7 linked regions of the Rattus norvegicus genome follow. The protein of the gene in region 1 binds, or shares a complex with, the protein of each later gene. Links are inferred from orthologs where the notes say so. Each region holds a gene or a part of one and is shown in the gene's direction. Other genes may lie near its edges. The genes, in order: Med7, Med13l, Med1, Med26, Med12, Med4 and Med13.

Region 1 (4,204 bases):
AAAGACCGAATGGCATTTTCTTGTAGCTGCCCAGATAAAAGGACAAGAAGAAAGGAAACTGCTCTTTCGTTGCTTGCTCTCATTCTCACTGGCAACTTCATCTGTCCCACTGCTGTGTCATTCCTTTGCCAGTATTAGATCCAAACTTTTTTGGGATTCCAACACAGACTGAAGAGCAGCAGCTCTCTAAAAATCCTCCAGGCCTCCAACGCCAGGTGGGGTCTGCTGAGACATCCAGCCCCTTAGACTGAGCAGCTACGGGATTCTCAGCCTTTCAGGTTGGAGGCAGCCATTGTTGGACTAGTTGAACTGCATCTTGTAAGCCACTCTAATAAGTTATATGACATATATATCCATGTGTGAACACACACTCATTTGATCAGTGTAACAACCCCTGGTACACTTTCAGTAAGATAGTAATGCTATGGGCATGGGAAAAAGCGAAGAGCCCTTACCTTTGAGAGGCTCATACTGGACTAGAGGCGAACTGATGGGGAGCATATAGCTGTGGAAGTTGGTGATGAGTAGACTGTTCTTTCGCTTTTATGCCTGCAATTCTTCACATATTTAAAGGAAGAAACTGGGACATTCTTGTCTCTGAAGCAGAGCTGTTTTAGCAGAACAGTCTTATCTCACTTTTAATTTGCAACAAGCGTTCTTAAGACTCCCATGAGTTAGGACATCTGTTAACAATTCTTTTATATGTGTGGTGGGGGAAGGCCTAAATGGAAAGTTTTCTTGCTGGTCCTGATGGCTCATTTCTGAACCTCTGGCTTTCCTGAGGCTCGGAAGAGACATTTGAAACCATGTGTAGCCTGGGCTACACAGTGAAATTGCCCACTCCTTCTAATTTTAAAAATTACATTAATTTTTTTTTTTACTTGTCGGTTTGTGGAAGAATTGTCATATACATCTTTGAATTCCTAAATGAAAATAAAAGTGAACGGAAGGGGGAAAATGAAGGTGTAGGATGTTAGTCTTAATCATGTTCCCAAATATCCCCATGTATGTATGAATATATCATGGAGTACAACTTGCTTTAAAAAAATTTTTTTTGATGATAAGGTTAGCATTGATATTTTTAAATATTGCTTATCTGTATTTTCTGACTTATATAAGGCAAATATTTAATTTTAAGAGTCTTATATAAAGGGGGTGGGCGGCGAGGAGTCGAATTACTAGAGAGTACTTTCTTTTACTAACAAGAAGTATGAAGAAACACTCTCCTGACCTGACCAAGAAGATAGACAAGAGATCTTTTCCCGGGAGAAGCGGGAGACGCGGGAGTGCGCATGCGCAGTATCTTTAGGGCGGGAGTAGGACCTGCTATAGGACAGGCTTCGTAGCCAATTAAAGGCCCGCGTCAGAGGCTTCTTCCTGAGAAGGCAACCGGAACTTGTGCTTCCGCTGCGCTGAGGAAAAAGTCGCTACGGGAAAAGCTAGAGCTGAGGTGAGCCGGCGCGGCGTTTGGCGACCGCAGCCAGAGTCTGTCTCTCCGCCCCCGCGGTTGCGTCTTTCCCGGCGCCACGCCGAGGTCCGGCGCGGGACAACCTGGGAAGCCCGGGCTCGCCTTCCTCCCACGTCCCTCAGCGGAGCCTCCCCGGGGCCTGAGGCAGGCGGCTGGCCGAAGGTGCGCGGAGTGCGGCTCGCTCCGGGCGTCTCGCGGACCGGACGACGAGCCGGACCGGAGGTTGGGAGGTCCGAGTTCTCGTCCCCACGCCACGGGCTTTTAAAGTGTCGTGGCCTTAGCCTGCCCTGTCGGCATTAGTAAAATGATAGTAGCCACCTGGGAGCGCGGAGGCTGGGGGAGGGGAGGGAGAGCCTCGGGCGGATCTTATCCTGTACCAGACTTTACGAGGGACAGGGACCAAGTGAGCCAAGTGTCTGAGCTTGCGACCACTCCCCCCCCCCGCCCCCCAAGCAAATGCTAGAAACTGAATTTTGTTAGTGTTAGCAAGTGAGGACATCCAGCGGCTCTGAAAAGTTCAGTTTAAACCGGTGAGGGCGGTTTTTGTAAGGTGGCAGGCTCTAAAACGGGATGCTTGAGTTATCGGGGTTTGCACTTCCGCGCAACAAAACGAAACAGCCAAACAAAACAAAACAAAAACGGAGTACAAATTCCCGTTATACATTTTACCCACTTCTGCACATTGGAAACTGGCTTCTTGTTTCTAAAATCAAATTGGGAATAGTTGTGCCGTTAGGAAGATAGAAGTGAGGATGCCGGTCACTTATTAGAAACCTTTGGGAAATGGGAATTTAGTATGGGTGTGGCTAAGGGAAGCGCAGATCTCATCTTCAAAAGCCCTCAGGGGACGAAATTTAGGCTGGGTGTTGACTTGATGTGACTGCAAATAGACACTAGTATCTTAGGTATATATACCCTGAAATAGTTGAGTTGGACGACCTGAAGAATTTGAAGTGACTTCCCTCAGATTTAATGTATTCCAGGTGTACGGAACCTGTATGTTACTTTCCCCTGTTACCTTGAATCTCAGTGTGAAAAAGCGCTCAAGAATCTTCTCATTGTATAATGTACTTAAACTCAAATTGGAAAAGCAGAGGGTATTTTGACCATATATGTTGCAGTGTTGGGACTTAGGTGTTAAATTTATGTAGAAAAGATGTTAAAATGCCAATTGTCAATAAAACTGTACTATAAGATGTTTGTAAGATGAGGCTTCCCTCAGAAACCTTGGAAAATTCTAGAAGTATGAAATTTAACAAGTGATTTTTGTCAAGACGTATAGAGAATCTTAAGTGTTTGGTTTTGGAAATCACTGTACAGTAGAAAGCAAAGTGAGATTGATAGACACCATATGTAGTTTGATTATGGAAAAGAGAAATAAATAAGGCATATGACTTTGTATATAACTGTTCTTTCCCAGAGTAGGTTTCAACGTATGCCTACCAAAAGGAGTCAGGCATGAAAAAGAAGTATATCATATACCATGTATAAGCCCCCCAATACAGACCCTTTTCTCTTAGTTTTCAGAATATATGTTTGTTCTTTGAGAATTTTATACACACACACAAACATGTGTGTTTTGATCATGCTTGCTTCCTCACTCGTCTAATATCTTGCAGACCACTACCATATCTTACTCCCAATTTTATATATTTTTAAAATATTTTCTTGGTTTTTAAAGATGGATCTTTAGCACAGGCTGGCCCATGTAGTTCAAATGGGCCTTGAACTCACAGCTATCATGCTTCTCAATCATTAGGACTCAACAACCATCATGCTTAGGGCAGTTTAAAAAATTGTTTAAAAATAACAGTAAATAAAGTCCTCTGCAAACCCGCAGTGGACTCTGCTGCTTGTTTTCCCACTTTGAATGCTTTATTTACATTTGTCAGGTTATCTACAATGTGTGAGTCCTTAATGCTAACATCATTTTTTAAACAAGCAGAACAGATCTTACTGAACGATCATATGAGTGCTCTTTAACAGGTGAGAAGGGCTCGAAGAGATTAAAAATAATCGTAGGATTTCCAAGTGAGGCTGTTCCGTGTTCTCAGAATTTCCTTCATAGACAAGGTTTGCACACCTCGACTTGGGTGTGTAGTTAGACACTAGACATGTCTCATGGTTCTCACTTCTGTTATCCTCACTGCAGTGAACATGGCGATTCAGCATTTTAAAGCCTGATTCAGTTAAGCAACAACCTGTAGTCTTGGGTGAATAGAGTTAAGAGCCAGGACACAGCAGGCCGTAGGACCAGAGCAGGTATTGTAAAGAAGACATGGTACCTGGGAGTCCGTGACTAAGTATGTGTAAGTGGTGATTCTACAGTAAAAAGGAGCCTGCCATTGTCCACTGTCAGTTGCAGAAATTGTACAATGGGAATTTATACTTGAATGTTGGAACCATAACTCATGCTATCACAAAGTAGACAGAGGGCAGACCTTTTTGGAAGGCCATCTTTGTGTGCAACTTTCTGCACCTTCCCTGCTCTATCCCATTAGTCTAACAAGGGACTAATCAGATCTTCATAAAGCCATAGCTTTGCCTTATTTTTCTCTTCACTTCTTCCTCCTTTGCCAGGATTACCTGTCTCCCTAGGGTGAAATTAGCACACCTGTTGTCTTTGCTGGCCAACAAGTTCTCAATTTTTATACTTCCCATCAGGAAGCTTGAAGATAATATGGTCTGAACCCACAACGAACTTGTACTGAACATTGTACTTGTGTTGATCAGGCT
Region 2 (4,075 bases), on another chromosome or scaffold:
AATAGCATCTTAACAGAAATGTGTGGCTTGAGGTCAGCAGGTCAGCAATTAGGATTTGCTTTGGACAGATTAGAAAATGAGGCATAGTTAAACTTTGTCGGGCAGGGTCACAGCTAGGCATAGCAAAGCCAGCTCCTGGCATCCTTTCTAGAGCCTTCTGAATTCAGATAGTTCCGGTGTTCAGCCACTCAGTAACTTGGGGATGCACCCGAGCTAGCTCACTAGTTTCTGAGGACTCTGCAAAGTGACCTATGTGTATGAGCCACCTTCGTTGCAGGGTTTAAGGTTTGTGGTACTTTCAAAGCTCCAATTGGTATGTAAGATTCGTCTCCCCTTTATTTCGCTCCCATCACTCTCAACAGCGTTTTATTTTTCCTTTGTTTCTTTGAGACAGTGTAGACCACGCTGGTCTGGAACTCCCAGAGATTACCTGCCTCTAAGTGCTGAGATTACAGTCATGCCCCACCACACCCCGATAATTCTACCTCTTTTCAAGTCAACTTTTTCCTTTTCTCTATTTTGGGGCCAAAAACTCCTGGAGGGCAGTCTCCTGTATCAGCACTTCTTCCAGCCCCATTACTCTGAAGAAGGAATGCTGGTTATTGACCGCTTGGAGCTGGAGGCAGGGCCTGCTCCCCACATAGCACAGTGTGAATGTGGCACCTAAGAGCGTTGGGATCATCTATGCAAGGAATGCCTGCGTGCACGCACACACAGAGTGGGCGCGAAGGGCTCCAGAAGCACGGGTGCTTTAGGAGCTCAGCGCTCCGTAGGCAGCTAGCCCGGAGCCCTGGCTTCCCGATGCCCGGGTTCGAATCCCGCGGCCCCGGGCAAGCGCCTCGCTGCCTTTGTGTCTCCGAATCCTACTCCTCCGCCCGGTGCGATACGGCCGGCGGGCGCGAGGTTCCGAGGAGACACTCCTCGGCTCGCTCCAACAGGCCCGGCCGGCCCACGCCGCGCTTCAGGCCGGAGCAGCTAATAGGGCTCGGAGGCCGCGCCGGGGAAGCCGCGGCCTCCTCGGCCCGCGACTGACGCGCGCCCGCGCCCAGGGCGGGGCGTCCACGCAGCCCCGGCGTCCCACGGCAGCCCGCACCTCTTTCTCTCCCTCCCTGGCTCCGTCCCCGCTCCGAGAGGGCCGCGCTCGGCTCAGCAGCGCCTCCCGCGAGCCACCGCCGCCGCCGCGGCCCCTCCCCCGCCCCCCGCGCGGCCGGCGCCCGTCACGTGACGCACCGCAGCCAATGGCGGGCCGAGCCGCGGTCGGCGGCCGCCATTGCTGTCAGAGCGAGCGAGCCCGGGGAGGGAGGAGAAGCGCGGCCGACTGGGGAGGAGGGGGGGGTGGGGAGGAAGAGGAAGGAGGGGACGGCGCTCGGCTGCCGGGGTCGCCCGCTGGCTTCGTCCGCACCCCCCCCTTCGCGGGCTCGCGCGGCGGCGGCGGCGGCGGCGGCTCCGGGCGGCTGCGGGGCTCGCGTGCCTCACGCGCCGGCGCGGCCGAGGGCGAGTCGCCCGCCGGCTGGAGATAAACAAGGCGGCCGACGAGGCGGCGAGGCGGAGGCGGAGGCGGCGGCCCTGCGCGACAGAGGCGGGCGGCGTTGCCGCGCCGCGCCCCCCGCTGCCGCCGCCGCCGCCCTCGGGCCTCCCGCGCGGGCCTCGCGCCCCGGTGCCCGCGAGCCGCCGCCCGGCCCGGCCCGCTCCGACATGCCCCGCTCTGGCGGCCGGGCTCGCGGAGGACCATGACCGCCGCGGCGAACTGGGTGGCGAACGGGGCGAGCCTGGAGGATTGTCACTCTAACCTCTTCTCGCTGGTGAGTGGCGGGGCGGGGGCCCGGGTGGGGGGCGCGACCTCCCCGCCGCGCAACTTTCTCCTCCCGGAGCCCTGGCGGCGTCGGCGAGCGCGGCGCCCGGCGTGGACGTGCGTGTGGAAGTCGGGGCGCTGCGGACGCCGGGGCGCGCTCGGAGCGCCCACCTCCGTGGCAATCACACCCCTCCCCTCCCCTTCCCCCTCTTTTTTCTTTCTTTTTTTTTTTTCCTCCTCCTTCCCGAAATGTGGAAGGCTTCTCCGCCTTGTGCAGCCGCCGGCGCCGGTGATCTGCAGGCTCGCCCTCTCTCTCCCGATCGGATCGGCCGCTCGCCCGTGTCTGCTTTCTGAATTTTTCTTTCTTTCTACCTCCCTCTCTCTCTTTTTAAATTCCACAATGACACCTGCGATTTCGCCCGAAAACAGTTGATGGAAGGCGATGGTGTCAGGCAAAGGACTCTGGCAGCTGGAGCTCGCGCGGTTGTAAACACGGACAGCCGCCCGCCTCTCGAGGCTTACTATGCCGGAGAGCGGGAGAGCCGTTGCTCGGAGCCCACGGAAGGTGGAGGAAGCTGGTGCTCCTCGCTCTCCTCCGCTGCCTTTAAAAACTGTTTTCTCTGCCTTAACAAGGAACACACACACACACACACACACACACACAGACACACACACGCGCGCGCGAGCAACAAGCTGGGCGGTTTGATAACATCGCTTTTATCTGCCTTCGCCTCGCCTCTCCCGCTCTCGCCTCTGATAATTGACAACTTTTGCTTTGGAAGTGCATCGCCTGCCTTAATCTCGAACCATTTAGGGTGTCAATTGTTCTTCTGGAAGCCTGGCACCGGGTGGCGGCGGCTCGATTCATCGAAATTAAAAATGTATAGGGCTCCAGCAACTCTTTCCTGGCGGTGGCAGTGACATTTGGTGGTAAATGCCATCTTTGCTTTTTATTGGGTCGTATTACCTAGCTCTGAAAACATTCGCGTTGTTAAACCTGGCGCTTAGACTGATAATGGGAGTGCGTGGTCTTTAAATACGCGCTTTGTGCCTGAGTTACTGTATGTGGAGCTCTGTGCCCCGGAGAGTAAGAATTTGTTTAAATATTGAGCAAAGATTTGTAAACAGATGTAAGGCAATTATGTTTCAAGTGTAGAATATAATTGGAAAATTGGTTGAACGGCCTATTTAATTTAGCCTTAAAAACTGAACTTATTTTAAGTTGTGTGCCCAATTTTGGTGGGGGAGCGTTATGGGTGCTGCCTTTTGGAAAGCATGCGTTTATTGCAAATTATTTTCTGGAACCCCTGCTGTAGATAGAAGCTTTTTTTCCTTAGTCCCTGTTTACACTGGATAAATAATTTAGTGTTCAAATTGTAATTAGTTACATTTAATTATGGGTGGCATAGATGTTTTTTCTCCCCTTGGAGATTAGTGGAGAAATACGAATTGTTGCCAACTTTGGAAGTGTCATTCTGTTTTCATGCCGATAAAGAAATCAAGCATGATTTTGGCCTACAAAGACTGAGTGACACAGTACCCCTGCTTCCACTCTTGTAAGCAGACTGATTGCAGGTCACCCCGAATTTTATCCAGAGGCTGAGTTTCAAGATTCAGTTAGCAGTTGGGGTTCTTCCTTTTACTACTGTGGGAATTTACTCTTGATCTTTTGATGTGAGATAAAACTACTTCTGCCTCTTTTTTCACCCCTCCACCCCCACTTCCCCTGTTTGTCATTTAGTATTAGATTCAGGGACCTTCATAGATCAGCAAATGTATTGACTAGCAGGGTATTCCCCCCCCCCCCCCCCAATTTGTCGACTGGGCGATCACAATGACACTTTTACAGGTAATTAAAATAACCAAGTCAGCCACGTTAGTTGGCCACATTACTGTCATCACGCTGAGCAGCAGTGCTGTGTGCATGTGGCTAATTTATATACAATGTGTTGTGCGGGCAAATGCAAGCCTGCCCGGCTGAACAGCCCAACTCTAGGATCCTTCCTCATTTCTCTCAGCTTCAGCGAGTGAGGGGGTAGAGAAGAGATTCTTTGTTGAAGATTCTGAACTTTGATTTTGACTGCATTCTGGGTATTTCTCCCCTAACATATTTAAACCAAAAAGTTGACTTTGGAATATAAAGTACAATTAACTTTTTGGGTGACTAATTTTGGAATGCAGAAATTGGTTTAGATTTAGATTGGTTTAAAAATGTAGACTGTTTATATGGAGGTGGATAAATGGTGTTTAATTTTTAAGAACTTTATCTTTATTTTATAAGCA
Region 3 (3,500 bases), about 52 Mb from region 1:
GTGCTATGGCCAGTTCACACCCGTGCTTACACATACGCAGATAACAAACACAGTCTGGTGTGGTTTCTAGTAGCATTTTAAATATTTGTTTTACATATGTGGGTGGTTTGCTAGCATGTATATATATATGTACCACATGTGTGCCTGGTGCCTGTGGAAACCAGAAGAGGGCATCACATCCCCTGGAACTGGAGTTAGATATGTTTGTGAACTTCTGTATGGACGCTGAGAATCTAACTTGAGTCCTCTGGGAAAGGAGCAAGTACTCTTTTTTTTTTTTTTTTTTTTTTTTTTGGGATCTTTTTTTCGGAGCTGGGGACCGAACCCAGGGCCTTGCGCTTCCTAGGTAAGCTCTCTACCACTGAGCTAAATCCCCAGCCCCGAGCAAGTACTCTTAAGCACCGAGCTATTTCACCCTGGGTTTTTATTGTTGCTGTTTGTTTTAAGACAGGCTCTTCTTATGCAGGCCAGGCTGGTCTTGACATCACAAAGGTCTGACTACTTCTGACTCCTCCGAGTGTTGGATTAAAAGGAGCATGTCACCATGCCTGGCATAAAAATAAAATTTAAAGCTATTTTCTAAGTTGGACACAGTGTGTACGTGTAGTGACAGTGACTTTGGAGTCTAGGGCGGGGGATTGTTGGGTCCGAAGACTCCAAGGCCAACATAATGGACAGCTTAGTAAGATTCTGTCTCAGGAAATCTCTGTGTTGTATACACATTTGAGACAGTATTCCTCTGTAGCTCAGGCTAGCCTTGAATTTACAAACCACCTGCCTTAGTATCTCCAGTACAGGGATAAAAAGTATGGGTGGTCATCTTACTAGGCAGCTTTCTGTATGTTTTGGAGTAAATTATATAAAAAATACTTGGACAGTTGTAAGTGAAATACAGGGTTTCTTTTGCAGGAGAAATGGTGGAAGGTCTTGGTATCAGAGTGGCTGCTGATGTTTTCTGCTTTACGTTGTAGAGTCAGAGAAGCTGAGTAAGATGAGTTCTCTCTTGGACCGGCTCCATGCAAAATTTAACCAAAGTAGACCTTGGAGTGAGACCATTAAGCTTGTGCGTCAAGTCATGGTGAGTATTGTGGCTCAGTGGGTAAGGTACTAAGAACTACCTAAGGAACTGGCCTCTCCCCCGTAAGGGTTGCTAGTTCCAATGTTGTGTCCTTGCTTTTGCTCACCACGACAACATGGTGGTGCTGATTTCAGAGGCCAGCTGAGGAAGGAAGTGCCTTAGGAAGGAGGTAGCTTAAATTCCCATATCCTCAGAGGTTTCATTCTAGGACTTCTCCCAGATCAGAGGCAAGCAGGTGTCTGAGTTGAAGGCTAGCCTTGTTTACAGAGTGAGTTCCACGAAAGCGTGGGCTACACAGAGAAACTCTACCTCAAAACAAACCAACAAAAAGGTACTGTCTTTGCACACTATTTATAAACATTCTCCTGTATACTTTAAGCTGATATCTACATTACTTAAAATGCTTAGCAATACAAATAGCTTGTGAGTATTTGTTATGCTATGGTGTTCACTGTCAGTACAGAACAGTATTTTTCTTTTTTTTTCTTTTTTCTTTTTTTTTTTTTTAAGATTTATTTATTCATTTATTATATATAAGTACACTGTAGCTGTCTTCAGACACACCAGAAGAGGGCATCAGATCTCCTTACAGATGGTTGTGAGCCACCATGTGGTTGCTGGGAATTGAACTCAGGACCTCTGGAAGAGCAGTCGGGTGCTCTTAACCGCTGAGCCATCTCTCCAGCCCAAGAACAGTATTTTTCTATTAGAGAAGCGGTCTTTGGTATCCTTCTCTGGCCTTCAACTTGATTTGGTGAAGCAGTTGGGCACGCTGGCATTGAATTTGTTCTGTCGTTCAGGTAGGCTTTGCGCACCATTCTTCTGCTGCAGCCTCCCAGGTGACCTATATCATATGGTCCTTTTCAGTCAGGGACTTCTGTGTAGCGTAGGTTGGCCTTGAATTTGCTGTAGATCTGAGGCAGTCCTCCTGCTGTAGTTTCCCAGGTGCCGAGATGACAGCTGTGTACCCTGCTCTCTTCAGGTTCTCTTTGGTCTGTTTGAAATAGGGTCACATTGTGTCTTTTGGGGTTGCTGTTTTGTGTTTGCTTTTCTTACCTCTTGTTTGGTACCCATCCACTGCTGGTGTCTTTCTCTGTGGTACTTCTTCCCTGAGTGGGCCCCAGTGCAGTGTTACTTGAACGACTTAAGCAGAGGTGGAGCACTGGGGAAGCATGCTGGCTGTATGCTAAGTATTCATTCCCACCACTCAGCCACAGTCAAAGGACAGGGATTCACTTGTGTTTTAGCTTTCCTATGTATAAATTACACTTTAATGAGAATATTTCATCCTCCCTATAGTTTACTTTAATTCCAGGGTAAGTCTACTTCAACATCTTTATTACCCTTTATCTGGCCAATCATCAGAATATTGGTAGTGTAAGAATAAATTTGTTAATAAGGTCTGAGCCAAGGGGTGTAATTAATTCAGTGGGAAAGCGTTTGCTTAGCATGTATAAGACGCAGTCATTCTCTAGCAACAGAGGAAAAATAAAACAAAAACAAAAACCCTGTACTTTAGACTCCTTGGCAGTGCTGCTGTGTGACTTTGAACAACTTATGTAATTGTAATCTCTGAATTTGTTTCCTCATGGGAGCAGATGATGCTAGTTTGCTTATCTAAGACGTTTGTTTTTGTTTTGATTATGTGTGTGGGTGTTTTTCTGCATGCATGCCTTTGTACCCTGTGTGTTCCTGGTGTCCATTCAGTCATCAGATCCTTGGAACTTGAGTTACACCTGGTTGTGAGCCACTTTGTGAGTGCTGAGAATCGGTTCTGAGTCCTCTGTGAGACCAACCAGTTCTCTACTGCCGAGCATCTCTCCAGCTCCTTTTCCAAATGGTTTTGGTAAATAATGGAGATAAACAATGGAGGGTGACCTTGAAATGACCTTTATTGCCGTATCCCCCCCCACCTCGGAGTGCTGAGGGTTCAGGTCAAGGCTGCTGACTGATCACTGTCTTGCTGGAGATTGAAGTCAGGCCTTTATGCATGCTGGGCCATTGTCCTGCATTCTGAAACTCTGGATTCTAGCCATAAATGCATGTGCATCATCTTTTAGATTTCAGACAAAAAAAGTGTTTTTAGTTTTTTCTTTTTGTTGTTCCATAGTTTGCTGTTTTGAGGCAAGGTCTCATATATCCCAGACTGTTTCCAACTGTATAATTCTCCTGCCCTGGTCTCCTGAGTGCTGGCATTTGAAGCTTGTGTCACTTTTTCTTCCATTACATTTTTTTTTTTTCTTTTTTTCGGAGCTGGGGACCGAACCCAGGGCCTTGCGCTTGCTAGGCAAGTGCTCTACCGCTGAGCTAAATCCCCAACCCCCCCATTACATTTTTTAAAGTACATTTACTTTTTTTTTTTTTTTGGGTTCTTTTTTTCGGAGCTGGGGACAGAACCCAGGGCCTTGCGCTTCCTAGGCAA
Region 4 (4,023 bases), on another chromosome or scaffold:
CCAGCACTCCCTAGAAGTATAACAAATTAAAATTAACAGGTGTCCCGCAGCTCTCAGGAGTACATGTGATTTTCATTACCTGTTTCCCTTCCGTTTCATGTCTGGATTTTTAAGGTTACGACACAAAACGAAAGTTATTTCTCCCGAAGCCACTGTAATACAGTGCGCTAAACTCGGAGCCCGCCCTCCCACTCCACCTGCCGGAGACCACAGCCCTTATACTTGATATCCTTCGTTTCTTGGTTTGACCTAAAACTCACGGTGACCTTGGCGCTTCCCTTCCTCCTCGGTGAGGCGTTCCTGTTTTCCAGTGGCTGGGGTGCAAAGCAGGGATCGTTCCGTCCGCTCCGAATGCGGAGGGGACGATGCTGAGCGATGGTTCCGCATCCTGTTGTGCAGACAAAGACTGGCCACCTCCAGTTCGCCTCTCAGGAGGGCTACAAGAGCGGTGCTTCAACGCAAGGCCCTGGGTTCGGTCCCCAGCTCCGAAAAAAAGAATTAAAAAAAAAAAAAAAAGAGCGGTGCTTCTTCTTGAGTTCCAGCCCCTCGTGGATGCACAGCCAAGGTGTCAGCGTCGCGCATGCCTTGCAGACTCGAGCCCTCGGCGGAGGCGGCAGCTCCCATACGTGCCCTTAGGTCCCAGCAGCGCGCGGGTCACATGGGGACACTCACTGCCCTGCAGATCCGCGCCTGGGGCCTCTGCAGCGGCGACGGCTGCGCCTAGATTCTCCGAGCTACTCGCCGCACGGGTCTCAACGCAGACAACCGCTGCCCTTCTTAGTGTCCCTATGGCCGCTCCAATCCTCTGATTCCTCAAAGCTAGAGGTCCTCATCCGGTGGAGGGTCTTACCATTCCGCAACCCCAAAGCAGTTAGCAGGAAGAGCCGGTGTTCCAGGACTTGGCATGTGAGCTTCCGTTAGGAAGCCCCGCCCCCTAGTCCGGAGTGGGCGTGACCTTCGGATAGCGTCCGTTGCCACGCCCAACCGTCTCCCAACGGCTCTCTGGATCCGGCCTTAGAACCCGGCGGCAGGACCTGATAAGTGCGCATGCGTGCGCGTGCGCAGAATCAATGGGCGGGGCTCACAAGCCGGCCCCTCCCAAACCCGGCGTCTCCACCCGCCCCCATCTCCCAACCTCCTCAGCGTGGCGCCGACGCTGCGTGCGGCGCGGGTTACCCAGAGTGCTCAGCGCGGGGGCAGCTCACTGGAGTTTGGTTCTCGAGGCGGCGGCGGCGGCGGTAGTGGCGGAGGCTTCTCCGTCGGCTCCTCCTCCTCCTTGCTCGGCGGTGGCGGCGGCGGTCCGGGGCCTGAGCTCCGGTCCCCTCCGCTTTCCTCCGTCCTCCGCCATCTCCCCGAGCGCCTCGACCTCCTCTGGCGCCGCGGGGAACATGCGGCTCCGTTCCCGGAGGCCGGCGAGTGACTGACCTGCGTCCCCCCTCCTCAGCCTGCCCGCCCGCCGGCCCGGCCGCTCCCCCCCGCTTCGCCCAGGCAATGACAGCGGCTCCGGCGTCTCCGCAGCAGATGAGGGACCGGCTGCTACAGGCCATCGACTCCCAGAGCAACGTAAGTGACTGCCGCGCGATCGGGGACCGAGGCCGCATGTGTCGGGACCCTCCCCCTCCGACGCGCCCCTGCCAGGGGTTCTCTCCGGGCGGTGATCTGCCCGCCACGGCCGCTGCCATCTCGGTGTCTCGTTCTCCTGGGTCCGGAGGCCGAAGGCAAGGCGGGTACCCCGGCAGCTGAGGGTACCTGAGGCCGAGGCTTCACGCGGCCTGGACTGAGGGATCGTTCGGAGCTTTGATGAGAGCTGGTTCTCCTCGGTTGTCCCAGCCCGGCTGCCCTTGGTGCTCCCCACCGTGCCCTTCTTGCCTCACCCCAACCCCGGGAACTGAGAACCCCCCGGAAAGGTCTCCCTGCCGGGGGACAAGGTAGAAAGCAACTGGTGTCTCCGCGATGACTCGGGTAGCCCGCGTCTCTGGAGTCTTGGCCTTTACTCCCCCTCGGTCTTCTAGCGAATCCCCTTCTTGGATTCGTAGGGAACCCTAGGCCTGTTCTGCCATCAGTCTGTCTTCCTGTGATGCCTGGAGAGTATCCTCTCTTCTGATAGTGGGTCGCTTCCTAGAAAAGACGACTCTGCAGAGAGTGGGACCCTTCCTGTCACCTCTCTTGGCCTAAATGCTCCATTGCGCGTCTGACCAGTAGCTAAAGCCTGGGATTTTAGTACTGAAATACTGCCGATCACAGTAGATTGTTCTCTTATCCCTATCTTCCGGTCCTCTTTCCATCTCTCTTGCTCCACCTGAGGTGCTTTGGACTCTAGGCTGTCAAGATTTAATTGTAAGGGATCACACTTTCCTCTGTCAAGAGTCCTGTGAGCAGTAGGACGCCTTTTTTCTTCCTGTGTGAGTGTAGACTAATTTTACTTGTTCTTGTATTTTTTCCAAAGGTTTGTTGGCAGTGCAGGGGGCGGGTGTCCTTGTTGCTGTCAGGAGTAGGGCCATGGGAAGATGCACAGGCATTCAGATATGAAGTGTTTGCTGGGAAACCAGGAAGTGGCTTTTGAGATCACTTTTTAATATGCCCAGGATGGAAGAAAAAAAATCATCTTGGACCAGGTAACAGAGGTTTGAACCTTTTTGGGTTCCCTTGCCTATGCTTGGCTAGTTACTTGTAGCAATGTGCTGTATTGTGTGTTCAGAATAATTCACATTGTTTGTGTGGTCTTGGTAGAAATAGAGATGTTCTAGTTTCTATGAGAATCTACTTGCCAGATTCAAAATTATTCTCTTCCTAGTCTTTAGGATCACGTCGATAGTAATTTAGTAAATATTGTAGACTTTTTTTTTTTTTTTGTGGTGGAATAGAGACAGGCTAGATAAAAATCTTCTAGAAAACCTTTCTTTTTTGGGGGGCGGGTTTAAGGGTTTTTTGTTTTGTTTTGTTTTTTGCCAGTGATTGGTAATAGCTGACTAATCACATGATTGATATATTAGGATATTAAAAGGTAAAAATAAGTGATAGGAAAACATAGCCTTGATGGCTTTTGCATCTTTGCTGAAGCTATAGTGTATAGTGTAATCTTTTTGATGTTGTTTTTCGAGAAGGGTTCCTCTTCTGTGTAGGTCTGGCTATCCTAGAACTTGCTCTTTGACCATGCTGCTGGCCTCAGAGATTCTCCTGCCTTTTCCTTCTGAGTGCTGGGATTAAATGCTTGCACTATCACTGCTCCTCTCTTCCACATTGTAAATCTTACACCTGTGTAACTCCTTGCTGAGATCTTCTCAGAGATCCTGACTGCTTGCATGTGAGAGTGTTGGGATCAGCAAGTGCTTTGACAGGTAGTCATGATGTTGTAGATCAGGTGGGGTCCAAGTGCTAGGTAAGGGTCTGACTAAAAGACCCTTTGGGGATAGAAGAAGGAAGATAGAGGGCCCAAATTTTAGTTTGTGTCTTTTTTCTGAGACTGTCTCTGGAAGTCACTATGTATGTAAACCAGGGTGTCCTCACAGAACCTGTCTGCTTTTACCTGCTTTAATCCCAAATGCTGGGATTAAAGGTATGTGCCACCATGCTTGGCCTCCAACTTTAGTTTCTTGAATCTTCCCTTGGTCCTAAGTGCTCATTGGCCTGTGAGTAAGTTGCTTGGAGTGTGTATCTCAAAGGGCTGTAGTGATAGGAGACCTTGTTGTGGCTGGAGTTGAGAACTTATCTCTGAGTGAGGAGGGGAGTGTTTCCCTAGATGCAATGTGTCAGTGACTATCCACAAAAACAACTAGGTATATGTTCTAGGGGCTAGCTTTGCAGAATCTCTTTGTAGAATCAGCCTGGAGCACTGTCCTCCATTTCTTGCTGAGGGGTGCCCGGCCATTTGCATTGTCTCTGTGATTGTTCAGGGCCCAGGTAAGAGCCGCATGTTGGTGCAGGGATCTCTGCTCTTGCTCTGATCTGCCCAGTTATGAGCTCCACCACTTGGTAATTGACACATATTTAGGATGTTCATGGAAAAAATACAAAACGGGGACA
Region 5 (3,234 bases), on another chromosome or scaffold:
TACTGTTCTGCCTGTCTCAGTCCCCTCTGACTTTTCTCCATGCCCTGCCCCCCTCTCTGCCCCACTGTTTTCTCATTTCCCAGCATTCTGTTGGCTCCTTGTCTCTTTTCTCCATGTCTCTCTACTTGCCCAGCTCAGCTTCCTATTATTTTTTATGTTGGTTTCAGTATTTGGATTTAAAGCATTATGTGCTTGGGTATGTGTAGGCCATGTCCATGTGCAGGTGCCCACAGAGACCGGGAGTTGGAGTTCCATGTGGTTGTGAACCACCTGATGTGGGTTCTGGGAAACAGACCTGAGTCCTATGCAAGAGTAGCAAGGGCTCTTAGCCACAGGCCTTCTATCAAGCACTTGGTTGAGTGTTTCCTTGATTAACCATTTATTCTTCATAGCGGAGAGAGAAGGGGGGATACAGAGGTTCAAATGCAAAGCAAAGCTCCTCAGTGTACACATTCTCGTAATTCCTTTCTTATCATGTTTCTCTCCTCTGGCTGCTCTCCGTCTCTCTGTCCCTATCCCTGTCTTTCTCTTCCTGTTTCTCTCTGACTGCCTCTCTTTGCCCTCTTTAATTTTTCCTTCTCTCTCCTCTCCTCTTCTCTCCTTCCCGTTTTCTCTCCTCTCCCTTCTTTCCCTCCCCTCTCTCTGGCTTCTTTCTTTCCCTCATCTTCTGTCAGCTTCTCTCCTCCCCTCCATCTCTGTTTCCTTATCTGCCTCTTTAGTACCCTCTTTCTCTCCTGGTGTCCCCTTTCCCCTTTGCCCCCTTCTCCTTCAGTTCAGCTCTGCCCCAGGCAGAGTGTGTGTCCTTCATGTATCTCTGTGTTAGTGTCTCTCTCTTCTTCTCCTTCAGTTCAACTGTGCCCAGGCAGAGTCTGTCCTTCATGTATCTCTGTGTTAGTGTCTCTCTCCTCTTCTCCTCACATCCCCGATTACTTACCACTCTTTCATACTTTGAAAACTTATCAACAGATAGTTTGCCCTTTCTAGACATCCTCCTATTTTCCAAGTCTCGGTGGCTCATTGTTTCTCCTTTGCTGGAGCAGGGTCTACAAGTTTCCACCAAACAAAAGATCTCTCCTTGGGAGCTTTTTGAGGGCCTGAAGCCATCAACAGCACCACTATCATGGGCCTGGTTTGGCACAGTCCGAGTGGACCGCCGAGTGGCACGAGGGGAGGAGCAGCAACGACTGTTGCTCTACCATACCCACCTGAGGCCTCGACCCAGAGCCTATTACCTGGAGCCACTACCTCTGCCCCCAGAAGATGAGGAGCCACCAGCCCCTGCCCTACTAGAGCCTGAGAAAAAGGCTCCTGAGCCCCCCAAGACTGACAAACCAGGGACTGCTCCTCCCAGCACAGAGGAGCGCAAGAAGAAATCTACCAAGGGCAAGAAACGCAGTCAGCCAGCCACCAAGAGCGAGGCCAGTCCCCATCCCACCCAAGCCCTTTTCCTGACTTCATGTGTAGTTGGAAGCTAAAGTTCCTGCTTTATGGGAGGTGTGCAGTACATAGGGAAGAGGTGCCATTAGAATCATGATCCAGTGAATTGGATCAGTACCGCTCCTCCTTACACCCTCCTCCCTCACCTCCCCACCCAGAACTGCTGTAAGTCACTTACCTTTGTCCTCTGCACCCATACAGGACTATGGCATGGGGCCAGGTCGGAGTGGTCCCTATGGTGTGACAGTGCCTCCAGACCTTCTACACCATGCAAATCCAGGTTCTATATCCCACCTTAGCTACAGGCAGAGCTCCATGGGCCTGTACACCCAAAACCAGCCACTGCCTGCTGGTAAGTACTAGTCACTAGGATTGGTGGAGTTGAACATTCCTCCCTTCCCAGGGGAAATGTCGATGGCTGGAACTGTTAAAAAAAAAAAAATGAGGCTGAAGGGATAAGGATCTCCGAGAGGTCAATTTGTTCTCCTTTCCAGGTGGCCCTCGTGTGGACCCATATCGCCCTGTGCGATTACCAATGCAGAAGCTGCCAACTCGACCAACTTACCCCGGTGTGCTGCCTACAACTATGACTACTGTCATGGGCCTAGAACCCTCTTCTTATAAGACCTCTGTGTACCGGCAGCAGCAACCCACAGTGCCCCAGGGACAGCGCCTTCGCCAACAGCTCCAGGCAAAGATAGTGAGAGGGGCAGTAGGGAGGACTGCCAGGGAGAGGGGTTTTGGTGGGTCAGAGGACTGAGGAGATACTTGGAACCTTCACAGGAGCATGCAGGGTCAGAGGTATAAAAGAGACATGGCAGAAAGCATTTCCTGAACTTGAGTTCTCCTTTTTCCCTTTAGCAGAGTCAGGGAATGTTGGGACAGTCATCTGTCCATCAGATGACTCCTAGTTCTTCCTATGGTTTGCAGAGTTCCCAGGTAAGTGCCTGAGACTAGTAACCTCAGGGAGAGGGAAGCGAGTTGCTGTACTTCCTCATTCCCCAGATCTCTCCTCCTTCCCTCCAGGGCTATACGTCCTATGTCTCTCATGTGGGATTGCAGCAACACACAGGCCCTGCAGGTACCATGGTGCCCCCCAGCTACTCCAGCCAGCCTTATCAGAGCACCCACCCTTCTACCAATCCTACTCTTGTAGATCCTACCCGTCACCTGCAACAGCGGCCCAGTGGCTATGTGCATCAGCAGGCCCCAACCTATGGGCATGGACTGACTTCCACTCAAAGGTACCCAAAGTAGTAGTGAACTGGCAAGGGATACTGAGGTATAAGCAGGTATAAGCAAGCATCTGATTTGGGAAACCCTGTACTTGAAGGTGATAAATGGGCCTGAACTTTGGGAGGCATTAAGAACACTAATCTGGTCATGTAAGTATTGCCACAAATGACCTGAGTTGGAAGAAATCCTTGAGGAACTGACAGAAGAAACAAATATCTAACTTTGATAAGAACCTGGGGTTTATAGATACAGTATATGATACAGACTGCTAAATCCAGAATTAAACAGTTAACACCAGGACTGAGGATAAGGTTTACTTGATAGCATGCTTACTTAGCATGCATGATGTCTCGAGTCTGATCCTTAGCCCTACACAAAGCCTGCTATGTCATGCACAACTGCAGTGGTAGCACGCAAGAGGTACAGGGAGGAGGTCTTCCTTGGCTACATAATGGTTTGAGGCCAGTCTGAGCTACATGAGACCCTTTCTCAAGGGGAGAAAAAGCAGTTGTACTCTAGGATGGACTAACAAATGAATTTCATGGTTAATTTTAGTCAAAT
Region 6 (3,500 bases), on another chromosome or scaffold:
TTGTAGGCAGAGATAATGACGGAATCCACACAACTACCTGAGAAGGGAACACTGGAGTCAGCATCAGCTGTACACGTGCCTGCCGCTCGGCCTTTAGGCCTTACACTTTCTAGTCAGGAGACCGAGAGTGAAGTCTCTGCTGTCGCTTTAATGCTCTGTGGATTTGGGTTACAGTTAACCATTTCTCTATCTGACTTGTTCTGCTTGCCGGTATGGAATCTGTTTCTCATTGTTATACCCAAGAAAACGGCTAATATTCTCAGAGAGACGGGTGGGCTTCTGTAGCAGAGGCAAGCCTGTAGGAGAGGTGGCTGAGTCCATCAATCAGGACTGGGTAGGAATCCATAGTGCTTTTTGAAACAGGTCTAGAGTTCATAGAGTACAAATCTTCCCATTCCTCAGAGGTAACTGCTGTTTCTGTTTGGTGCACAGTCCATGTAGAGCCTCTTCCTTTGTGGTCACAGAGGATGTGGACTGTTTGGTTAGCCGCTTGGATGTTGCTGGAACGAAAAGCTCTCCCCTTGGTTTACTGTTCCTCACTGTGACATTCAGAAGAGCTCTGCATTTGCCGTCGGCCAGTAATGGAGATTACTGAGCATTATCATGCTGGCCTTAGATTTATGGTAGCTGACCTCGCCGAGTGGGTGCCTTGGTTCTTTAGTTAGACATATATGTGTAACAGTTTTGGTGTACATGAAGGTGTTTGGGAGGATAGATGGCTGAGATGAGCCTGATAGTTAAGTGTGGTGTGTGACTGTGACGTGTGCTCTTCTAAGCTTGTGTTTAATGGTCTGTCCTGTTCTGTTTTCTCAACTCAGGCGCTATCTCCTCTGAAGAAATCATTAAGTACGCACACAGGATCAGTGCCAGCAATGCTGTATGTGCTCCACTGACTTGGGTTCCAGGTAACAGTGCTTCTTTTCAGATGAATGCAGGTTAAGCGTCCTGAGGTGCATCTGTAGCATTCTAAGTGCCTGTGTAGAACACAGAAGGATACTGTAACTAATTCCTGTTACATTGTTTTTACCAAGCAGTGATGGGAAGTGTTTTTTCCATTTTACTTTTAGTGCTAATAGGTCAATCTGGGACACTTTCAAAGCAATAGGTTCATATACTTGTAACACCCAGGCTGGCCAGAGCCAGTCCTTCAGTGCCATTATATTCCTGCAAAGCCTCAGCCTGAGAGGCAGTCACAGAACAAACACCCAGCGCAGTTCACCAGCCGGGAAGAGCGGGAGCATTAGGGACAGCAAAGATAATACAGTGCAGTCCCAGCACTGCAGATCAAGTAGGAGATGGGAAACCAGAGCTGGAGCAGCGGCCTCCGTGGAGGATGGAGAGAGCCAACTGGGCTCTGCTCACTCCTGACCGGTGTTTGTTGTTGCTGAACACAATGACGGTGGCTGCAGTCTGAGGATGGGTAATTCCTGGTGAGAAATATTACCAAATTTGGGTGTGGGTGCCATCCCAAACTGCTATTCAGTGTCCCTCTTTGATGGGAATGACAGTAGGTTCTTGTGATAAAACTGGAGAGGTGTAGAAACTAGTCTGTGTATGTTTCTTTGTGACAGGTTTATGTCTCCTAGTCTGGTTCTATCTTATGTATTTGAAGGTGACCTTGAGCTGTCCCACCTCCACCTTGAGTTGCCTCTGTGCAGTCCTATTTCTACTTCCAAATGCTGGGCTACGGGTGTGATTATAGGCGATGTGCCCACCACCCCTACTTTTTTTACCACCCCCATGTTTTTTACAAAACATAGAATGTATATTCCTGGGAGGATTCAGAGAAGAAACAAAAATGTGTGCATTTTGAAAATTAATATTGGGAGCTAGAGAGATGGCTCAGTCATAAAGAGCACTAGCTGCTCTTGCAGAGAACCTGGTTCAATCCCAAGTTCACACATGGCAGTTCACTTGTCTGTAACTCCAGTTCCCCCGGACTTCTGACACCCTCACACAGACATGCATGAGGCAAAACACCAATGCACATAAAAGAAAAATAAATGATTTTAAAAAATTAATATAATATAGTCTCTTTCTCCTCCAGCCCCCTTTCTTTTATTCATTGAGAGACAGTTTCTCTGTGTAGCCCTCCCCGTCCTGGAACTCACTTTGTAGACCAGGTCAAGTCAGAGTCCTGCCTCGCTCTGCCTCCTGAGACCTGGGACTAAAGTTGTGTGCCGCCGTACCCAGCTTGAGAATAGTAATGGTAACCTCAGGCAAGGTGTGGTAGCACATAGCGTAGGCAGCTGTGAAGAGGCCGGGGCAGGCCTGCAGCCTTGAGGCTAGCATGACTACCTGCTGAGACCTGTCTTACAAGCGCTCCGGTCCTTTAGTGTGAACAAGGACAGCTAATTCTTCAAGAATATATACATGATTTTAAACCTGAGTTAAAAGCTGTCTTTATTGTTTTAGGAGACCCTCGACGGCCATACCCAACTGATTTAGAGATGAGAAGTGGATTGCTGGGTCAGATGAACAATCCTTCTACCAGTGGTGTGAATGGTCACCTCCCGGGAGATGCCCTTGCAGCAGGTAGACTGCCAGGTAATGCTAACTGGATAGGCGTTTTCAAGCGACAGGGTTATTCAGAGGTGGCCGTGAGGCAGTGTCTAGCATTGGGCACCAATATTGTTACATAGATTCCCTACCAGTTTATTGTTCTGTGCTTCATCCAAAGACCCAGCAGTGGTGCATAGGTCACTGACCTAAGCCACTCTGTCCCTCACGTGCATCTATCTCCTATCACCCTCCCCAGGCCTGGCCTTCCCTTATCGTGACCACTCTGAAGAGCATTTTTGCAGTTCTGAGGCATGCTCACAAATAGAATAAGCTCATTTTGTAGGTGCCATGTTTAATGTGAGAGAATCTTTCTAAGGAGAGGACATAAGTGGGGGACTGTGCTTTCTGAAGCTATCACTTCTGTGTTAACATGTGGGTTTGGGAATCTGCTCATTTGTGTTTAGTATTGCGAATCCTTCTTGTTAGATCTTGGTACTGTAAGGTAAGTGGGTAGGTAGATAAGATTAAGATTCTTGCATAGAGGGCGGGGATCGAGTAGATGGATCACAAGTAGAACCAATCCCTTATGCTTCTTCTCCTCAGATGTCCTTGCTCCACAGTACCCATGGCAGTCAAATGACATGTCTGTGAACATGCTGCCGCCAAATCATAGCACTGACTTTCTGTTGGAGCCTCCCGGGCACAACAAAGAAAATGAAGATGACGTTGAGGTTATGTCAACAGATTCCTCAAGCAGCAGCAGTGACTCTGACTGAGAAAGGGGTGGCATGCAGACTCCACTGCCACAGAGTTCTGTCAAGTGGGAAATGGAAAGCACAGACCTCTAAGGAGCCCAGGAAAGTCAGTGGTCTTTCTTCCTGTAGCCAGAACTGCTGGTTCTCATCTGTTACACACGTGTTTGAGGGTTTGTCACAATTACTGTTGTGCTTGGTTTGTACATAGCAGCTATGGGATGAGACTGAAGGAGAACTGCACAA
Region 7 (3,500 bases), about 40 Mb from region 1:
TAGGAGCCTTAAAGCTCTTCTTACCTAGGTTTTTTTTTTTTTTTCCTTCTTTTTTAATGTATGATTATAGGTCAGAACAGTTAATTATAGGTCAGAATAGTTAATTCTGAAGTATATTCCCCCTTTGTGCTAAGCAATGGAACCTGTTCCTTCTGTCCAGTTGTATTTTGATGCCTATTTCATGTCCTCTGCTCTGTTCTTCCCAACCTCTAAGAATCATACACAGGAAAAATAATGGAACAAAGCATGATATCAAGCCTTTAGACAAGTAATCATACTCCACTATTATCTGTAAATATTGTGGTTTTTTTTAGCAGATACTTAACATTTATTCATTATACACAATTAGCTTGATATTCTGTGATTGTATCTTTATTCAGATGCTCTCATGCAACCTTCCTTATTTAAACAAGCCCTTCTGTTTCCAAATGAAAAAAATAAGACCTGGATAGATGGCTTGTTTTTGCTGGACAGGCATAGCAGTCAGAGTTGGGGTCCTGAGTAGCCACATAGTGTCAGGCAAGTGTGATGGGGCCTGCCTGTAATTCCAGTATGAAAGAAGACGAGATAGGGAATTCACAGAGAAACCTGGATAGTACACTCATTGAATCAGTGAGCTCTAGGTTCAAAGGAGAGACCATACTTAAATGTTTAAGTTAGGAAGCCACTAAGGCAGATACCCCATGTCAACCTCTGACTTGCACATCATGCATATAATGTGTGCACAGGTACCTGTGAAACGGCACATATTCCATCACATCACGCGCACAAAAAGAAAAAGTATGTGTTTAAATCTACCATTCTAATGGCATTTATGTTTTTATTACTTACATATAGAGCTTAACTATGGAATAGATTATATAACTTTTGCAGCTTCCTGGGGAAGAGCTATTGTTTGTTTATAACTTTATTTCTGAGAAAAAAATTTCAGGTTTTAAATAAGAGAATAAGAATAATTTGTGTTGCAGAATTGTCTTTATGAACATTAGCCTTTCTGTCTTGTTTAGATAAGTAGATACTACTTGGCTAATAGTTGAGTTTTCAGTATATTGTTTCTGATTGTCACATGTAGATGCTCCACGCCCTGCTAATCATGCCCGTCCTCCATCAACCAGTTTGATTTATGACTCAGATCTGGCTGTGTCTTATACTGACCTTGATAACCTCTTCAATTCTGATGAAGATGAATTAACAGTGAGTATCCTATTAATGATTAGGATTAAATTAAATTTTATTGATTTCATAACAGTTTAAGTTTTGGAAGTGATTTATGACTTTAGTACTATGTTTTAGCTCTGAACAGTAGGAGATATTTTATAATAAAACGCAATTGGTTGATTTTGCTTTCATGTTAGAATCATCTTAATATGGTTTCTTAAGAACCTTGATGTGGATATATTTGAAAGATACATGGTCAAGTTTCATTGAGCTCTACCATGTAATATTTTTTCTTTCAGTCTTTAGAATGATTTTTCTGTTCTTTGACCCTGTAGTTTGAGAAGTGAGTCTGGAATTGAATTAGAATGTTTACGTAATTAACATTAGAACTTTACACGTTTCCAATTGAGTAAAAAATGCTAGTTCTTCTGAAATTGTTTGCCATTACTTCTGTCACTACAAGACATAGACTTGAAAACAGTCCAGGAGGAAACAGAGCACTACTGCAGTGTTTTCAAAGAAAGTTGAAGATAAAGGTAAAAACTTTAAATGGATGTTCTAGAATGTCAGTTGTCTAGCAGGTAATGAATTGGGTGCTGCAGTATCGTAAAACAGATTCCTTTTCCGTCTACTTAAAAGTAGCTTAGGACTGGCATACTTGGTGTTTGTTGTCTTATAGAATATATCCTGTGAGGTTATCTATCACACGTTTGAACGTATAAGTCTATTACAGATATTGGTCAGTTATAGCTCTATGTGAACACTTGCTCTTTACCCTCCAGTGTAGTGTGTACTAGGGCACTCTTCACTGGGGAAAGAACTCTGAATATGTGGTAGACAGTTCTTGTCTTTGTTAACACACAGAAAGCAGCTGTGGCTTTTTGGAGGTAAAACATTAGTCATATATGTGCTTTACTTACAAAGCTTTCAGCGTAAGATGTGGAACAAATGTTCCTTCTACAAACATTGGTATTTTGCACATGCTTTTAATCCCCATTCTTGGGACATGGAAGCTGGAGGCTTGGGAGTTCAAACAAACAATCAACCTACAAAAAAAGTTGGTTGTGGGAGAGCTAATACTTGGTTTGTTAGGAAGTCTTCCTGAGCTTATGCTCAGTATTAGATCTGTAAAAATATTTTTATAAGAATAATTTTATTAAACCAAGCTGAAAATATAAAGCCAAATTAGGAAGAGTTATTAATTATATAGGAAATTTTAATATCTTTTAAATTAAGGGACAGAGCCTTTGAATATCTTTTGCTAAAAAAAGAATTCTAGTCTTAATTTTACATTTCTTATCTTTTATTTGGTTTTAAGTTACTGGTTATTCTTGCTTTTTTTGATGTATTTTCTTGTTGCCTTTTTCTCTGTTAATTGAGAGTCTTATCAAATACATGTACTATCTATTATGATATTTGGCTCTGTCATAGTTTCAGAAAATGATCGATTAATACTGTGTGATCACTTTGGCTTTCAGATTAATATGCCTTTTCCCTTCCCCATAGCCTGGATCTAAAAAATCAGCAAGTGGATCAGATGATAAAGCCAGCTCCAAAGAATCAAAGACAGGAAGCCTGGATCCGTTGTCTTGCATAAGTACGCATCCCAGATCTGAACTCTGCCTTGGTTTAAAAGTTTACTCCCACCAAAATTTCTTTTGCTTTAAACACAGACTCCCTTCTTTCAGTTTATGTTAACATGTGTGTTGTATTAAACACAGGCACTGCAGACCTTCACAAAATGTACCCCACGCCTCCTTCACTGGAGCAGCACATTATGGGCTTCTCTCCAATGAACATGAATAACAAGGAATACGGTAGTATGGACCCCACACCTGGAGGAACTGTGCTGGAAGGAAGTAGCTCTAGTGTAGGAACACAGTTCAGAATTGAGGTTGAGGAAGGGTTCTGTAGCCCTAAACCTTCTGAAATTAAAGTAAGTATTTTTCTAGAAAAGTCATTTTCTCCCTGTGTTTTCTTATAGGCTTAATTGCTGCATTCAAGAATCTTTTCACAGTTGATTTTAGTTTTGTGGCTAATATAAGGAGGGAATTGTGAGAACACTATGTAAAATGCATTAAAGAATAGAAACAAAATATTTATACTTTGTGCATTTAATGAACAGAGTAAAGAAGACAGTCGCTTTGATTCTGTTTGTTTTCATCCCTGGAATATAAGGCACTGAAAGTCCACGTTCTTTATATTGTAGGATTTTTCTTACGTCTATAAGCCTGAAAATTGTCAAGTTCTAGTAGGTTGTTCCATGTTTGCACCTTTAAAAACTCTACCAAGCCATTGTCTGCCTCCTATCAAATTGCCGGAAGAGTGTGTTTACCGGCAGA

The links.
Region 2: Med7 (region 1) and Med13l share a complex: the UniProt entries of both Homo sapiens proteins name them as parts of the mediator complex. The link is inferred for Rattus norvegicus from reciprocal best matches to the Homo sapiens genes MED7 and MED13L.
Region 3: Med7 (region 1) and Med1 share a complex: the UniProt entries of both Homo sapiens proteins name them as parts of the mediator complex. The link is inferred for Rattus norvegicus from reciprocal best matches to the Homo sapiens genes MED7 and MED1.
Region 4: Med7 (region 1) and Med26 share a complex: the UniProt entries of both Homo sapiens proteins name them as parts of the mediator complex. The link is inferred for Rattus norvegicus from reciprocal best matches to the Homo sapiens genes MED7 and MED26.
Region 5: Med7 (region 1) and Med12 share a complex: the UniProt entries of both Homo sapiens proteins name them as parts of the mediator complex. The link is inferred for Rattus norvegicus from reciprocal best matches to the Homo sapiens genes MED7 and MED12.
Region 6: Med7 (region 1) and Med4 share a complex: the UniProt entries of both Homo sapiens proteins name them as parts of the mediator complex. The link is inferred for Rattus norvegicus from reciprocal best matches to the Homo sapiens genes MED7 and MED4.
Region 7: Med7 (region 1) and Med13 share a complex: the UniProt entries of both Homo sapiens proteins name them as parts of the mediator complex. The link is inferred for Rattus norvegicus from reciprocal best matches to the Homo sapiens genes MED7 and MED13.

Annotation. Positions count from the first base shown.
Region 1 is NC_086028.1:31,353,633-31,357,836, forward strand, and holds the start of Med7 (mediator of RNA polymerase II transcription subunit 7), read left to right. Parts: upstream 1-1,404; 5' UTR 1,405-1,450; exon of another isoform or gene 1,451-1,998; intron 1,999-4,048; 5' UTR 4,049-4,204. UniProt on the Homo sapiens protein: Component of the Mediator complex, a coactivator involved in the regulated transcription of nearly all RNA polymerase II-dependent genes.
Region 2 is NC_086030.1:43,663,020-43,667,094, reverse strand, and holds the start of Med13l (mediator of RNA polymerase II transcription subunit 13-like), read left to right. Parts: upstream 1-1,275; 5' UTR 1,276-1,730; coding exon 1,731-1,802; intron 1,803-1,832; exon of another isoform or gene 1,833-2,722; intron 2,723-4,075. UniProt on the Homo sapiens protein: Component of the Mediator complex, a coactivator involved in the regulated transcription of nearly all RNA polymerase II-dependent genes.
Region 3 is NC_086028.1:83,679,046-83,682,545, reverse strand, and holds part of Med1 (mediator of RNA polymerase II transcription subunit 1), read left to right. Parts: intron 1-971; coding exon 972-1,078; intron 1,079-3,500. UniProt on the Homo sapiens protein: Component of the Mediator complex, a coactivator involved in the regulated transcription of nearly all RNA polymerase II-dependent genes.
Region 4 is NC_086034.1:17,332,547-17,336,569, forward strand, and holds the start of Med26 (mediator of RNA polymerase II transcription subunit 26), read left to right. Parts: upstream 1-1,223; 5' UTR 1,224-1,491; coding exon 1,492-1,563; intron 1,564-1,587; exon of another isoform or gene 1,588-4,023. UniProt on the Homo sapiens protein: Component of the Mediator complex, a coactivator involved in the regulated transcription of nearly all RNA polymerase II-dependent genes.
Region 5 is NC_086039.1:70,461,810-70,465,043, forward strand, and holds part of Med12 (mediator of RNA polymerase II transcription subunit 12), read left to right. Parts: intron 1-1,040; coding exon 1,041-1,418; intron 1,419-1,638; coding exon 1,639-1,789; intron 1,790-1,931; coding exon 1,932-2,137; intron 2,138-2,298; coding exon 2,299-2,376; intron 2,377-2,463; coding exon 2,464-2,681; intron 2,682-3,234. UniProt on the Homo sapiens protein: Component of the Mediator complex, a coactivator involved in the regulated transcription of nearly all RNA polymerase II-dependent genes.
Region 6 is NC_086033.1:55,112,579-55,116,078, forward strand, and holds part of Med4 (mediator of RNA polymerase II transcription subunit 4), read left to right. Parts: intron 1-818; coding exon 819-905; intron 906-2,415; coding exon 2,416-2,547; intron 2,548-3,105; coding exon 3,106-3,278; 3' UTR 3,279-3,500. UniProt on the Homo sapiens protein: Component of the Mediator complex, a coactivator involved in the regulated transcription of nearly all RNA polymerase II-dependent genes.
Region 7 is NC_086028.1:71,618,402-71,621,901, reverse strand, and holds part of Med13 (mediator of RNA polymerase II transcription subunit 13), read left to right. Parts: intron 1-1,072; coding exon 1,073-1,194; intron 1,195-2,664; coding exon 2,665-2,755; intron 2,756-2,879; coding exon 2,880-3,094; intron 3,095-3,367; coding exon 3,368-3,500. UniProt on the Homo sapiens protein: Component of the Mediator complex, a coactivator involved in the regulated transcription of nearly all RNA polymerase II-dependent genes.